Linked DNA regions of Neodiprion lecontei. The protein of the gene in region 1 interacts with the protein of each later gene in a pairwise test. Links are inferred from orthologs where the notes say so. Each region holds a gene or a part of one and is shown in the gene's direction. Other genes may lie near its edges. The genes, in order: breast cancer anti-estrogen resistance protein 1, breast cancer anti-estrogen resistance protein 3 and leupaxin.

Region 1 (5,454 bases):
GCTGCGGCCCAAAGTATAGTTGTACGCTGTAGGAGAGAGAAAGAGGGGCGAAGTATAGTCGTGCGCTGTGAGTGAGAGAGACCGCTGCTGCCGTCTCCCACCCCAAGCGCTGAGACAGAGAGAGAGAGCGCGCGCACACGCTGGAATAGAGAGAGAGAGAGAGAGAGGGAGATCGCGCGCACTATAGCAAACGAGCACTATAGCCAAAAAGTGTCGGTTTTTTGGTGTCGTTTTTTTCCGCCTAGCCCCTACGGTGAACGAGCGATAAGGAACTTCGTTCCAAAAAAAAAAAAATTTTACACTAGGATGATCCCTTAACATCCAAAAGGTGTGTTCTTTATTTAGCTACCGAGCTACCGTTGGATGCGCTTGAAGATTTAAATATAGATTAGTGCGCAAAAAATTCAAGTATCTCTGTGTCATACATTTTGGATTAGCTGCACCAACAAAACTGGAAAAATTTAGTTATAGTGTACTTTGTTCAAAAAGATGTTTTAGACGAGTCGTCACTCGACCTCCCTCGTTATTCATGATTTTTATCTTACCAGAAGTATCAATTGATTCTTAGACAGCGTAATTTTGGATGGAATGAAGGAGTGAGAGGGTATTATAGGCATTCAATTTGAATCACAATAGCAATGAAAAAAAAAAAACATAAAATTACTCTGGGCGGCCAAATCTCATTTTGTGTAATACAACTATTGTAATACAACGCTACATGCTGTTTACTTTGATTTCCTTGTAATTATTTCGTATGTCTGGGAAACTGAATTAATCTTACTGTCCCACGTTTACTTTGCTTATCTTAAAATAAATCATGTTAAATATAAGTATTGGTTGGCACAGTATCATTTATGTATAAAAGATGCTAGTTTTAATGAAATGCGTGAGAATAATTAATGTCAATGTTTGTGATGTCCGAATATTTTTTTTTCTACTCATTTCAAGTAAAAAATCGATTCGAAGATCGGCCAAAATGGACTTATTTCAATTTAATTGAATTGATTCTTATACTGATTTATTCATACATAATGCCCGTTCAATTTCATCTTTCATTTACTTACTTTGTTCAATATTGACAGCTTTCTTCAAATTCATTAATCGCTGAAATAGATCCATTTCACAATATTGTCAGTCGAAGACTCTTAAAAATTGAAATTAATTAACGTTCCGCAATACATTGGCATTCTAAACTTTACACGTATAAACTACGTAATCACTATTTTCAAAACTACTTTTCATTACCTTTTGTGATATAAGAGAAGTATTGGTGGCGGTCGAAAATAACTTTTTATAATTTTAACGAACTTTTACATTTTCGAACCTCTAGAATCCGAAAAACAGGTTCTTAGAAAAATTTCTGTCGATTTTTCTACTTTTTATGGTGATAAAAAGTGTTGCGAAAAAAAAAAAAAAAAAAAATAATCGGACACGAGTCAATTGATTCTGTGAAAATGAATCGGTTAATCGATTATGTTGTATTTTTTTGAAACATTGAATATCAAACCAAAATTTTGTAAATTTCAGCATATAGTCTTAATAGCGGAAAAGTTTTTTGATAATTTATAAATGCATTTAAAATATTTTTCAATTTCAGGTGAAAATATTAATTCATCTTTCACTTATTATATCAAAAAGGTACTCAGTGAGCAAGCAAATGACAATAATTAATACTCCAATCACATAAATTGATAGTGTATTACGTCGTTAATGAGAGTACGAAAAAAAAGGACCGAAACCGATTGTGAGGAAAAATAATCGAGTCGGTCGATTAATCGAGATTGAAAAAAAAAATAATGGATTTAATCTAAAATCGATTACATCTGGTCATTCTTAATACATACCGGGACAATCTCTTGAAACTTGAAAATCAACTGCGCGTGCGCGAGTTTTATCGGCTGTTCGCGCAGGCTGGCGATCCCGAGTTTCAGCTGTCAAACTGTTTCAGGCAGCGATGTAGTTGATACGAGTTAACGAGGTTAGAATCTCAAATAAGTGAGGCAGTGGCTCGGAAAGGATTGGGAAGCATTTGTTATTGGGTCGGAAAGTTGATTCTTCAAAGAACGGTCGGAATTTAATGCTTGAGCTCTTTGAAAATTCAAACGTACACATTTTGCGTAGGTTGGCCCGCCTGCGTCGCAGACATGAATATCGCTGCGCGAAGATTTTGCCGACCAATGAGATCAAATTATTTGGCACATGCGCGGTTGATTTTCAAGTTTCAAGAGATTGTCCCGGCATTCATACATATATGATTGTATTACGCTCGTCACAGACACCTTGCATCGACAAGGGTGCAGAGAAGGTTCGTCGTAGGCAATCGTGCGTTCTCGGCAAGCCTCGGGCCAACGGTTCCACCGCCCCGATTCGATTCGATTCGATTCTCCAGAGCCGCCAGTCTCGCGCACGACCTCCGGCGGTGAAGATGTCTCCGTCTCTTCCGCTCTCCGTTACTTTAATTTCGTGAAATTCCGGGTATTAACGGACACACAAACAGATCACAAAGCATCGAATCAGTGCAATTCAACACGCTGCCCGCTCCGCTTGAGCGTGAAATCGGTTGTTTTCTAAACAAGGTGGAAAACGGTGCAAATTGTTCGTCAGTTTTTACTCGTGTACACATGTGTTTGTGTTTTGACAGTTCAGTGAGGAAAACGGTATAGAATTTTAAGAAATAGTGCGTAAAATTGGAGTTCCGTTACATTTAAGTTCGAATATCAAAAGTGCGTGGATAATATTATAATTCGCCGATTGCCCGAGTGTGAACATCCATTCGGTTGCTATTTATCGCAGACCGCCTTAGGCGCAACAGCTTGTGTGCCGATATAGGCGAGCATCGACCAAACGACGACGGTAAATGAACGTGAAAATGTTACCGCAGACTCCTGACATCATTCCCACGTCTTTGAATCAGGTACTGTTCGCCACACATGCCTATGATCATCTTCTACCCAGTCGCTATCCTTCCTATCGCGACGGTCGTTAATACCGAATGACTCTCGCGTGGCGCGCTTTTGGTTCGAACGGGCATTTAAAAATTCAAAAATACCGCACCGCGTTCAAGGCGCACACGTCACGCGTAGTGCGCCTCGCCACGTATGTGGCACGCAGGTATATCCGTGGCGACGCAGATGATACGCGATGAAAGAACACATTGTTGTTTCGCTAGCTTATCTTATCAGACCTCTTTCATCATTCACCTACTTGACCTCGGCGTCGAATTTCTGATATACCTACTCGTACACCCACGATATTTATATCGGGCAAACACTGCTCTTGAGGTGTTTCAGCGTAATTGCGTAATTCGTCGTGATCGACTGAAAGTTTTTATAAAAGTCTATTTCATTTTTTCGTAAGCCATCGATTCGATTTGAAATCCTTGGTCGCATAATTTTTGATGGTAGGAAGTGCGGTCTGGTCAGCTAGGCTCGATAATTTTTCATATGAATCATTAGTCGAATAATTTGCAAAGTGCAACCTCCAAGCCTGTTTCGCAGCAAAATGATTATATGAAAAATCTATTATTATCTATTTTTAATCCTGGCTCACCAGAGCGCACTTTTCAACAACAGCATCATCATTTAACGAGAAATTCGGTATCGATTCAGAGTTTTACGAAAGAATGAGATGGATTCTTGTAAAAACTCGTTGCGGCGGGTGCCCTGGTCGACTTCGACGTTCACATGTATATCTCCGCGTCAAATGAAAATGAATTGGAATGTTTTCGTTCATAATTGCGTATAGAATGGGGCTGTTGAGCCTATTTTCGCGTTAAAGATACACGGACTTCGATATTTGGAGATATGCAACGTCGAAATCGACGAGGACAACCTCTGAGAGTATTCTATAGTCAGTCTTTACTGATCATAGGTTATTTTCACTTGAAATAAAAAAAAAAAGTATTTGGATATACTTTTGACAGGCATTGCATGTAGGGTTGTGCCGACTGCGGGCATTATCGGATCAATGCTGCCATCAAATAAGTGACATTTTATTCAGTCGGTAAAGACTGACTACAGTATACTCTTGAGTAAGAAATTTGCTGTTTTTATACGTTAATATGACTATCTGCGTAAATCTATAAGCTCCCCCTGTTTCTCACCTGTTTCATTCGGTTTATTTTCATTATAAAATATCCGATCATAAAGAACTTGTAACGAGTACAAATTTTTTCCTCCACTTGCATGATAAATTTACGCCTCATCCGCGATTACCAACTATTGTGTATACTGTGATATTCACTGTTGAAGATAGAACAGCTTCTGAGATTTTACGCGGAAAATCGTACAACATACACACACGCACACACCCACACGCACACATAGCATCGAACCCGTCACACGGTTATCCTCAGGTAGAACGAATAAACTATATATTTTCGGATTATAGGTTAGGTTAGGTTAGGTATGTTTTACGTGTGTCGAACTGCCTATACATATAGATACACGTACCTGTGAACGGTATCTGGGTAGGTTCGTTCTGCAAATCGATGGTTGGAAGTGGAATGATTGTATTCGGGCATCTAGCAGATGGTGAATTGCGTGTTGAGTTCGGTTGCACGTGGGTTGTGTGTATTTAGGCAATTTGTATAACGCGGTAGTTTGCCCGTGTCAGTCGTTCACGTCGACAAATCTCGCCAATTTGATAATATTTAACTACGCCACGCCGTATATCTGCTCTAGCAGTATTACAAAAAACATCATTCAAAAAAGAAAAAAGACGCGTGTGTGTGTATTGTACAGGGACTCGAATTTCGCCTGTGTCAAGGGTAAAGAGAAGGCGTTTCAATTGGCGCTCAAATCTAATAACTATTATCATCACCGCGTAAATGCGTCGTATTCAATCGTGGGATGACTTTTATCAGACTTCAACGTTTCTGTCTCATAGAATCGAAAGATGTATCGAGGTGGTTCACCCATCATGTTTATTGTTCAATTTTCGAATATGTGTAATCCAATGTGCCTGGCTTTATCTGCAAGAAATTTCAATGCCGCGGGTTCATATCAAACATTGCTACTGCGTTTTATTTATGGAAAGAGGTTTAATCTTCTTTTGGTCAGTGATTTATTGACAAAAATAAATTTTCGATCGGGACCCAGGCCGGTCGTCTTCGGGCTGCAGAATAATTATATTTTAATGTATGTTAAGACAAAGTATGAAAAAAAAAAGTTACAGACAAATCCGTAAAATGAAAGTTGGTTAATCAACGATTTACATATGTATGCAGTCACGTGACATATGAAACACTCTGTGCAACATTATATAAACAGATAAATTAACGCGGGAGAATATCTTAATTACTACCTAACTATGTCGTTTGACGCTGATTAGTGTTAATCGTTTTATTAAGCTGCCATGATGTGTTTATTTTAACTTTCATTTTTTTCCTCAGTTCCTGACTGCTTGCACTGGGAACGTAATTGGGCTAATTTTAATATCGATGATCGTCGGTCA
Region 2 (5,744 bases), on another chromosome or scaffold:
ATAAGGCATGCATCTTTACATATTTTCTCAAAACTATGATCGTGTTGTAATTTTTGTTGCTTTATTACTTTTTTACAGAATTTTTACATACTCTGGTACAGTTTTTGTATTGTTTCTATGTTATAGTTTAATTTACGCAGAATGTTGTTCACTGTATAAAAATTAAGTATAACTAAATGAAAATATTGTCAGTGAAAACTATTCAAATCAAATCATAAAGTCGTATGGAAAACACCCGAATTTTTATCATTTTGAGCGTTTTAACTTTCAGATATTGAGGGCTTATTCATCACCAAAGCCATTATTCAGATTTTGGGATTAATAAATATATCTCGTTGTATCGGACGTCTTTTCGCAATTCTCCAGTTCCTCGTCACCTGCATAATCATCATTATCCTAAATAGTATCATTACACGTAACACTCAATAAATTGCTACGTTTCAAAGAAATCGATAACCTGCAGCACGAGTTGCCCACGCCTAAAAAAAGTGTCGTCGATCAATGAGGCGAAGCCAACAACGCCAGCATAATATATATGCAAACCAAATATAACACACACGCAGCGCAACACAAACACAGTGTCTACACTTCGCTAGAATACGATGATAAACGAAAGCCATCGTTGTCTGCTACTATCCAGTTAAATTTTAATGTTTGTCATCAGTGCCTACCAGCTGCAATATGGTCGACCTTCTGTATGCGCTATTGAGCAGATTATACAGTTGAAAATCAATATTCTTTTGGTACTTTTAACGCAAGATAGTATTTTTCAAATCATTAAATTCGCAAGCAAAGGTGTTTCCTATATATGAATGCAAAGAAACAGACCAAAATTACGAACAAAAGCTTTGATGTCGATTTTGGTGATCTTTAACCGCTGTAAAACGGTGAAACATATCATAAATTCACTTAAATTCAATTTACGTGATGGTTGGTTTTATTCAGAAGATGATTCTTCACGTTCCCATCATGACAATTTCTTCTTTGTTTCTTATCAGATTGGTGTCGTTAAATTTTTAATTTTTCCGTGTTGCAGTGATTTCGATAACAAACAGCAATACTGATTGAGTTGACTATTAAGTGAAAAATATATCGCTTCTGTCGAATTTCTAAAAAAACGTTTATATCTAACCAAAATCAACAGTTGTGGAGTGATAGTACAGAACGATTCCACCAAATTTCTCATCATTTCGAAACGGTTTAAAATTTAAAAAAATAACGATTCGAAAGCTCTTATTCCTAATTTTAGTCGTTTTTCGAGTTGTACGAATGTAATAATCTGACATGCAGTCGAAGTGCGACTGTCTTGTTATAAAATTATACCAAACTAGTATCGATCCTCAGTTGTACAACTTCCTTAAGAGGATGCTATAGTCAGTACTTACCGATCGAGTAAAATTTCACTTCTCTTAACTATTATGCGAAAGTGCCGCAATCGGCGCAATTCTACATGCAATGCCGATCGAAACTATCGAAAAACATTTTCACTGCATACGAAAATTATTCGAGGAAATTCGTTTCTGCCACAAGTGGTAATTCAGTTACAGAAATACAATTCATTGGCATTATTGTTGCATAAGACAAAACCTTTTTTTTTTTGTACATACGTACTCGGCATTGCATGTAGAATCGCGCTCACTACGGTATTTTTACACGAGCGATACATCGGGCTTTGATAATTAATAGTAAAAATAAGTGACATTCGACACGGTCGATGAAGAGACACTACAGCATCCTCTTAAACAACCCACTATCATCACCGCATCAGTTTGTCCTCGTCTCTTCTTCTTCTTCTTCTTCTTCTTCAGCAGCAACAACAGCAGCAGCAAGCTGTGTGTACATATGTTCACGTACAATATTAACACACACCCATGTCGGCATGGCGGCATGTTTGCGGGGGCCTGAAGCTATCGCCTGGTCTTCTCTCTCTCTTTCTCTCTCTCTCTCCGCTCACACCACACCCCATAAGTCGGTCCCAATCTGGGGTTATGTTCACAATCTCCTTCTCCTTCTCTCTTTCTCACGCGTTCCCCTACATTCCTATCAACGACGCTTCTCAATCCTTCGTGACGTTCACGTTACATTGGCTCGCACAGTGTCGCGTTATGCTTCGGAGCGGACAGAGCGCAGCGCCGCGCTGAGCCACGCGGTCAGCTTGTGTAATCGCATTGCACCTTCCTATTCAACAAGTGTGTCCGGGTAGAGTGGATCCGCGTCATTTAACCCTGCTGCAACACCGCCCGCCGATTCACGTTTTACCCGCAACTGATCAATCCCGCGCTGACGTCACAGAAAACATGGGGAAAACCGCAAGCAAGCTCAAATCGCGTCGCAGCCAAAGTTAGTCGATCATCGTTTGTTTATTCATTTGTCTAATACGATTTTTGTTTCACGTTCGATTTTCATTTCGTTTTTTTTTTTTTTTTTTTTTTATTATTTTTATCATCACAAACATGTCACGTATTGAATACAACACCCTTGATTATGAATTTTGGAATTTCATTTATTATATAATACTTGCGCTTGCACCACCCGCGGAAATTACAACGTAGATAGAAATCTATATGCAAACATATTATTATACATGCTTAATTATTGTCGTCCGTCGGGTGTAATACACGTAATACAAACTCCCATTTAAAGTATACAATAACGAATGAAAAGGTGAGTTGTGCACCGCGCTACAATACAACTTTTATCTCTACTCGCTGCACTGTCGACGACGTTGGTTATCAGTGTTTCGTTATATTCACGCCTACACATACCTATAACGCGTAACTAACATGTATTGTACTGTTTATAGGGTTTACTTATACGCGTGATCTTACATTATGGTGTTACGCTTTTTTATCATATAGCCAGATGTTGTGCTAGTCGTGCACTTAAATGCAGATGAACATGTACAGCAACGTTGTTTATATATATATGTTGAGCATTGTTTTGAAGCCGTATCGCCGCGCTTCATTACTATTCCGTCATACATGCAGGCCTGCGTAGCGTAATAATTTTTTCACTGACGTTGCACATATTACCTAATATTATACATGTTTGTATAAAAAATTTTGCAACCAATTCGAGCGCAGCAATTAAATCGCTGGCGACAGAGAACAATCATATTTTAGAACAGCAAAATTGACTCGGAGAAAAAATGTACAAACTTGGATACTGAACCCACTGTCTTATGATAGACGCACGTCAGTAATTTTGGCTACCACGTGTCTCCGCGATGTGAGGTATGATACTTTCTACAACCAATAACTGTACAGTTCGAATGCAGATAAATGGCTTAGTTGTCAAACGAGGAAGAGAAAGGCGCATATTTGAACTCGATTTTAGGAAACTGAAATATTAGCACGAAAACAGTTTCAGAACGAAATAAAGAATTGTTGATAAAATGGCAAAATCCAATTATTCAAACTTTGAAACGAATTGACGTCCGAAATTTGTAGACCAAAACCCAAATTAAAATAGTTATTTCTGCGCTACTTCCGTCAGCAACTCGACTACTTTGTAGTTTTTATGAGCACTAGTGCTTATAAAAACTACACAATATTCGCGTTTTTGACGGAAGTTAGCACAGAAAATAGAATTTGTCGTACGAAATAGATCTTTTCGTGGCAAGTGCGCATAAAATTAAGCTATTTTCTTACCTAGGGTGTAAAGTATCATGCCCGTGATGCGAACAATATTTTTCGTCCTACGTAGGCGTAAACGGGATTTACCGGTCCACTTCGCGGGCGTAAAATCCCGCTTTACGCCTACTATGACGCAAAAGATTTCTTGACGAGTATAAAGTCCCGCACGAGCCATAAAAGGTGAATGCCAAACTCACACGAGTTATGAAGTCCCTATATGCACGCTAGGGTGACCATTATTTACGGTGTTGACGAATTTTTTCCATACTGCCCCCAAATCAAGTTTAAATAATTCAATAAAGATCCCCAAATTTTTGCAGATTCTTAACTCAACTCTAACCCGCCACCCAAACAGGTGGAATTCCCTATTTAAGATACACGTGTTTCGGACACATTCTTAGCATACATTTTATTGTAAGCGTAATAATGATGAAAAAAATCTGTAACTACGAAGTTTTAGTGGGCAGTAGTGCTACTATCTGAGAAAAAATTCACATCGTTATACCAGGTAAACTAGACAAATTGCAATTCCTCTAAATGGAAAAAAGTCAGATTTCAAGGGCGTGTAATTTGTCGAAATTGCATGGTATGATGATTTGAATTTTTTCTCAGATAGTAGCACTAATGTCCACTAAAACCTCGTGGTTACAAATTTTTTTTTACCATTTTTATTTTTACAATAAAATATATGCTAAGAATGTATCCGAAACACGTGTATTTTAAATGGGGAAATGCACCCTCTTTGGAGGGGGGGGGGGGGGGGGGGGGGGGGTTAGAATTGAGTTAAAAATGTGAAAAAATTTGAGAATCTGTTTTGAATTATTTAAAGTTGATTTGAGGGGTGGTACGGAAAAAATTCGTCAACACTCTAAAGAACGGTCACCCTAATGCGCACGTGCCACAAATCCTATTTACTATGCTATCTCTTGTTGAAAACGAAAATATTGTGTAGTTTTTATAAGTACTAGTGTTAAAAAATCTACTTCTGAGCACTAGTGTTCATAAAAACTGCGAAGTAGTCTAGTTGTTGACGTAGGTAGCGCAGATGATAAATTTCAGTACAGATTTTCAAATCAGTCATAACATAACTTCAGGTTCTGCACGCGATGAAAAACTGAAACGACTTCGTAAATTTGAAAAAGAAGTTTATTACTTATCCAGGGATCTAAATCTAAATCTTGGAAAATGATTGAATAATAATCAAATAATTAATAATAGAAATAAATAATATCAACGATGTACGTATATTTATTTCAGTAAACGTAATACCTTTTTCAAAATTGTCAATTCTAGGTATGCAATCAAATGTGAACCTTATATAATCGAATCTATTTGAGTTGGATCCAGAATCAAATAACTGGTGTGGCAAACGGATGGAAATGAATTGCAGAATTGTGTCTAAAACGTTATATTTATATTATCTGTTGCTGTTGCCTCTAATCAATTTCTGAAGCAAAATTACGAGATTTAATATATCGTAGAAACAGATTTTTTGGTCGTTTCCTGTTTTTCTTCCTTTTTTCTCCTAACAGATAAAACTCGAAAACGTAGTATACTTAAGATTTTAAACTAAATTTCAAATGTTCCTCAAAATTCAGAATCATAATTCTCGTATTGATAGAAATTCTATTATTCCATTGGCAAGTCGCAATGCAATATAAAAAAATGTTAAAAACGCTTTTTTGTTTGTTGTTTTTTTTGTTTTGTTTCAAATTTGACTTACGCTAAAAACTTGAACTTCGAATAATCTACCACATTCAAATTTGCAATCTGGATTCAAGATTAAATGGCTTACAGTTTCGTTTCTCACACATGCGGTGATTGCAAAATAATACTTCTCAGAAATGTGTACATTTTTCACTGTGAAAAAAACTGTTTAATTCGTACTCTTTTCAACTCATGTTTCAGTAAATAGCCTCAGACAACCCAAGAAACTGTTTGCAATAGTCACTTCTGTTAATGCCACTTCGCACGTTCGACATGCTAATTTTGATGCTGTATGTGGGACTATGAATATCGTAAAAACTGAAAAACCGAGAATGACATAATCTATAAAATTTAAGAGCTATTTGAATGGTAATTTTTTTTAGAACTAATAAATCTTTTGGA
Region 3 (5,869 bases), on another chromosome or scaffold:
ATCGTGACACGCGCATTTTGTAGTTTTTCACCCCTGTAACATCAATGCTGATAAAGATATCACTACAGTGTCGTTTCTTTGGTGTTTTGAATCCACTAACAAGGGTCGATTTTGGATTTGGATTTTAATATGTGAAACTAGGGCTGCGTATCCATTTAAAACAGCTTTGTTGTTTACAAAAATCAGTTTTTTCAACGCTGTATAAAATTGTTTTTAACGATACATTAAAAAACGAAACATTCAATGTGCGTAAATACTGAATAAAAATCGTTCTGAAAGTGTATCTTCAACACGTTTTAGAGAAAGAAGAAATTTACTTGGTTATCTTTGACCCTGCGTGGAATTTATCTCGCAACTCGAGTGACCAATTTGTCACCTTTGAGTTGATCGATTTGAGCCCGCGCCTAAGTTCGCAGGAGTGTATGAAAATAAAAAGTTTTTGAAACGTCACGCTTAGATCTGATATTCTGATTATCACGCGACATATACAGTATCGATTTTGCGGACAACAGACAACAGAGGTCTTACAAGTTTCTCAATTAGGGATTTTAAGGGTTCAAAAAATATACATCTTGGATAGTCGTTGACTCTCGAAATGATGGTACCCACAATTCTCTTAAGTGATTAGAACATTCATTTTTTTTATTTTGATTTTCTATTCAGGCTTGAATTGTGCCTCCATTCTGGAATCGAAATTAAATCTTGTTACATAGTTCAGTTATCAGTAAATCTTATGTGGTCGAAATTGTTATTGAGTCGCCATCAAGCATCGGGCTTGGATAAATGGACTGAATAACTTTGGGTAATAATTACCTTATAAGAATCACTGGGTTAGATTTTTCAACGTCCGGAAATCTCTTTTTTATAGACACAGAGCTGTAAGTGGTATACGGTGAAGTGTATTTTTTTGTAATAAATTGACTGATTGTGAAAATGACGAGTACCTCTGTGAGACCGATGTCCCCAATTACGCCTGCCCGTTCGGCCACTCTGGAGCGGCATAAACGCTGGGAGCGTTATATTAGTAAGTAAAAATAGCACAATTAACGTTATACGTTGATTATACGTTATGGGATTTCACGTCGTCAAGTGACAATTGGTTAATTGGTAGGAAATCTGAGATGTACGTGAACTCTATTTAAAGTGACATGTAATATTATATAATGCATTATATTTGTATGCAGAGAGGTTGAAAATTTATTATCTCGTTCGGTTTATCAATCTATGTAATCAATATTGCTGCTGCGTTGGTTTAGAAACCATTCACGCAATGATTCACGAGTCATAAAATAGATTTGAACGCGCGCAAAAACCAAACTAAACGTTACAAAAAAAATTAAACAAAATTAACCTCTGGGCTTTTAGCCAAAGCTTAAAGCTCATTCACGTTCCGAAAGTATGCAATAAGCTACGTTGGAACGTCGTACTCTTGACAGCTACGCATCAATCTTTTCTGCAGAACGTATCAAATGTACAGCAAATAGTCACAATGAAGTCGTATACAATGATGAATCGCGGATACTTGCGGATGAAATAAAATTATTAGGTATATTATTTTTCGCGTGCATTATCAGTAATAAAATTTACAGACTTGGTAGTTCATGAATTTCCGTTCAAATAAGAGAGAGAACCAGAGCGACATAATCGATGAGAGCAATAAATTTTGAAAATGCGACTTCGATATTTTTCGCATTTTACAAGTTTATTTTATAGTTATTCCATCTATCTGGGCGTCGGAATTGATTAAAACTGAGAATCAAAACCGTGAAAAAGTATGAAAAAAATGTAGATAGCATTCACCCCCGCCATTTTGTTTACACTCACTTAAGAGAATTCTGAAATTTTCATCACCTTAGTTCTTTTATACCTTTTATTACCAAGACCTCCATTTTTCATCGATCGTTTATAAAAATAACTGACCGACAGGGTAATTCTGATCCTGAATTTCAAAAGCGTCTCCTCGATCTTCACAATATCCTCAACAAAACATGAATCCCCGCCTTTCTTCGTTCCAACTCTACCCCATACATACGTACAATATACTAGGTATAAAACAGTTTTTGGAACTGACAACGCGATTCCGCGTGAAGTGGGGCGAAAGACCCGAGATAACGAAGCTCTGGAGGCGCGCGTTCGTCGTGCACCGGAGATTACAGAAAAATTTCGTCACGCTGGAGTCCCCCCCCCCCCCCCCCCCTTCATTTTTCCAGACGATGCGATGCCGCGACGAGTCCTCCGCCGCTTACACGTTTCCACCTCCCCCCCCCCCCGCCCGCTCACCCCCCTCCCCCTGTGAACCGCGTCGGGCGACGGAGAAGGCGACAGCCTTTCCTCCACCTCCTCGAGGGAACGCTTCGCGGAAGCCCATAGAGTCCCAACGCAATCGGCGAATGGCCGACCGGCGACCTTCTCGTCAGAGCAAGCAATTCACAGTCAGTCAGTCAGTTGGTCGGTCGGTCCCACTCAACTCCGCTGTCTACGAACGGCGCCAGAATATTGTACAAATATATTACCGCGCACGTTTGGAGTATATAAATTGCACAGTCGAAAAGACCCAGTTACTAGACCCTAATCCAGCCTCCCCCCTTTTCTCCATTCGAACGCAAAGGTGGTTTGCCGGTGATATTTACTCGCGAAATAAGTTGGTGCGTACCGTTTTCTTCACCTCGTAAAAATGGACAGTCAGTGCGCCTACGCCAGGAGGTCGACCGACAGTAACGACCTTTACGAGGTCTACGATCCTCAGAGGGCCCGCAACGGGGCCTCGAGCAACCTCGTAAGCCTCGGTGAGAATCCAATTCGTCTCAAGATCCCCCGACCATTCGTCCCTCGTATTTGTGATTTTCAAGGTTGAAGTAGTAGAATTTTTCACTAGCTAAATGCAGTGCCCACTGAGTGCGATTTTCCTAGGATTTCGCTTCTGTTTTTCCTTCGAAGCTGGGAATATTGCACTCAATGCACACCGAATACAGCTAGTGAAAAACGCTATTTGGTAACGTAGGTTTGAGAAAAAATTCACTAGTTTACGATCTTATAGGGTTTTTAACGGGCTGCACTCACAATCAGTGTGTACTACATGTCAGTTCTTCAGTTTTCGACAAATAGTAAAAGTGAAATCCGGGGAAATTCACACTCGATGCATTCAGTGCAGTCAATTGAAAACTCTATTGGAATGATTTGAAGGGAGGCAAGTTTTCAAAATAAGTAGATTAGTATGTTTTCATATGCTAGTACGGTTTATTGAATTTCAGAGGGAAAGCGGAATTCGAAATTTCGAAATAACGACTTGCTTATCGCATACAATCGTTACAACAACGTGACTAACTTCAATATTATATCAGATTCCTTACGTTTCGATCAGAAATCACGGCAGTCGCGACTCGGTTGACGCTGCGGCTGACGTCATCGACGCTCTGGTGTTGAGGTTAAAGGTACAGTTTGTCGCAAGGGTTATTGGGTAACTTGAACCATCGATACATGCTCGAATAAGTAGCAAATTCAAGGTTCTTGAATGTGGATTAGTCCGTGATGTGACGTCACTTTTTCCGACTTAGAGTGCGAATAAACCGAATAGACAAACTTTACCAAGGATGGAAACTGCACGCGTGTTTAATCTGCGATAAATACTATTTCTTAATCCACGAAATAAATTAAATCTCTTAAGCGTTGGTACCTGCAGAGTATATCATCATTTGCAGCGCATTTACATTATACCGCGGTGCAGAGGATGAGTATAAATCATAGACTTACAGGCAGGATGTTCTTCGCGAGTATAACGGATTACAGTGCACGGGATCTCTGTAGTAGTTTTGTTGCATTAAGAGTCAGGAATTCAAGAGAGAATATATACTTATACGTATGAATCCACGGACACGATATGTACGATCCACGCGCGTGCCACAAAATGCGTAACAGAATAGAATGTTGTGCATATCTCGACTGCATCGTTCCACATCGCAAGATTATGGAAGAAGTATTTTTGAAACGCTTTATTGTTGCTCGAAATGAATTTACTCCATTCACTGGCAAAACTTCACTTTCAAGTATGATGATTTAAGATTTTATTTATATGTTTTTCACTCTTGTATGCCAACGTCAAATGTTTTTGATCTTGACAGTTTTTGGCTACAAATTATCTAGAAGCATTTCGCTTGAGTAATGTTCATTAATGGTTTCCAAGTGGTTGACTATTTCTTTTTTTGTAATCAAACCGAAACATGTTTCTTTTTATAAAAATTTTATGTGCCTATTGATCAATGTATCGTTTGTTTTTCCTGTTACTTACGTCGTTAGTCATTTGCATATAAAATTTACTTAGAAAGGAAACCCGTTCCGGTTTTGATTCCAAAAAATAATCAACCACTGGGAAACCCAGAAATGAATATTACGTACTACGTCCTTCGTTAGGTTTGCACTTAGACGGTGACATTTGTCGCTACACTCCTTTAGCCCATTTTTCTCTTAATCACAGGTCAGTTTTTCGTTCGAGGTATGCTTTTTAATATTTTCTATGTCTACCGCCCAAAGATCGAAAATCAACGTTTTCTCAAAAGTTCCGTAATCAATTCTGATTAAATTTTCACACAAGATTATACATGTAAAACAAAATTGTCAAGACTAAATCGAATATTCCGATACATCTAGCTTCGGAGTTATGAAGTTTTTGATTAATCATTTAAATGATATCGTTTCTTTATTACAACATTTTTTTTACAAAATACCACAAATTTGATACGTATTTCGTACATGTATCTGTACATTTCGTATATTTTTGTACATGTACAAACATGCTAATATTTTATAAAATATGATATACCTCTTGAGAAACGTATAAATGAAGTTTTACTACATCGACGTTCAATGTGTTATTACATATTTTTGTGATTTACATATTCTTAACTTCATAACAATTGTTATTTACTACATTGCTTGCACGTAAATTTTCTTGAGATAATTATGAGAAAGCTAATAAAACCTCAATGCAAATGTAGCGATTCAAAAAAATGAACCTGCAAGAATTAAAAAAAGCGTATCTTCAATTTATTCTATATATGAATAATACCAATTTTCAGATATGATGATACAAGTATAAATGCTCTGATTACCTAAGTAATTGTTAAAGGTACGTTTTACGCAGTAAGTAATTGAGCATTTTATTTACTCAATGAAAAAATCATTCAATTCTTTCGACGGTTTCGGTACAAGTTAAACTTGATTAATTACTTCACAGAAAACAAAATTACAATTAGATAGATTCTGAATTAGAGATAGAAATATTTTCACCTCTAATTGTAACAAACTGGGATTTTAGTCTTAATTTTACGAAAAATAATGAGAAAATGCGAACTTTTTCATATTATTTTATTTGAAAGATCTTGCAATAGCTGATTAATATATTCTTACAATAAAAGTATCCTTAATATGCCAATTTCTCAAGCGGCTTGCAGCTTGACGCATTGCTTTCTATAACGCAATCTGCTGACATTCTTTGAATATGCATAACCAGGAATTATTCGCTGACATATGCCGAACAAGCACAATTATGTTGATCATTTCCAAACTACAACAAGAAAGACGGTTGAATGTATAACGGCATTCATCGTTCTTTCAGCGACTATTTTTTCAGATTGATCTAAACATAAAAAATCAAAATCAATTTTATGCCAGAAAATTAAACATATGACAAAACTAATTATATAACCTACTGAAAAAATTAAGATTCCTTTCTTCTTTTTCTTGACGCGAAATGAAATTGATTTTAATATAAAGTTGATGGACAGATGAATGTACAGCAACAAATATGGACGCTGTAATTCATGAAGATTTGCAGCATGGCAAATAAAACTAAGCATTCAAATTTGTTATTTGA

The links.
Region 2: the proteins of breast cancer anti-estrogen resistance protein 1 (region 1) and breast cancer anti-estrogen resistance protein 3 interact in a two-hybrid assay, tested with the Drosophila melanogaster proteins (2 studies listed by BioGRID). The link is inferred for Neodiprion lecontei from reciprocal best matches to the Drosophila melanogaster genes p130CAS and CG9098.
Region 3: the proteins of breast cancer anti-estrogen resistance protein 1 (region 1) and leupaxin interact in a two-hybrid assay, tested with the Drosophila melanogaster proteins (2 studies listed by BioGRID). The link is inferred for Neodiprion lecontei from reciprocal best matches to the Drosophila melanogaster genes p130CAS and Pax.

The regions. Positions count from the first base shown.
Region 1 is NC_060261.1:18,409,676-18,415,129, forward strand, and holds the start of breast cancer anti-estrogen resistance protein 1, read left to right. Parts: upstream 1-2,072; 5' UTR 2,073-2,857; coding exon 2,858-2,914; intron 2,915-5,454.
Region 2 is NC_060264.1:18,766,914-18,772,657, forward strand, and holds the start of breast cancer anti-estrogen resistance protein 3, read left to right. Parts: upstream 1-2,089; 5' UTR 2,090-2,297; coding exon 2,298-2,340; intron 2,341-5,744.
Region 3 is NC_060264.1:9,647,455-9,653,323, reverse strand, and holds the start of leupaxin, read left to right. Parts: upstream 1-2,466; 5' UTR 2,467-2,674; coding exon 2,675-2,786; intron 2,787-5,869.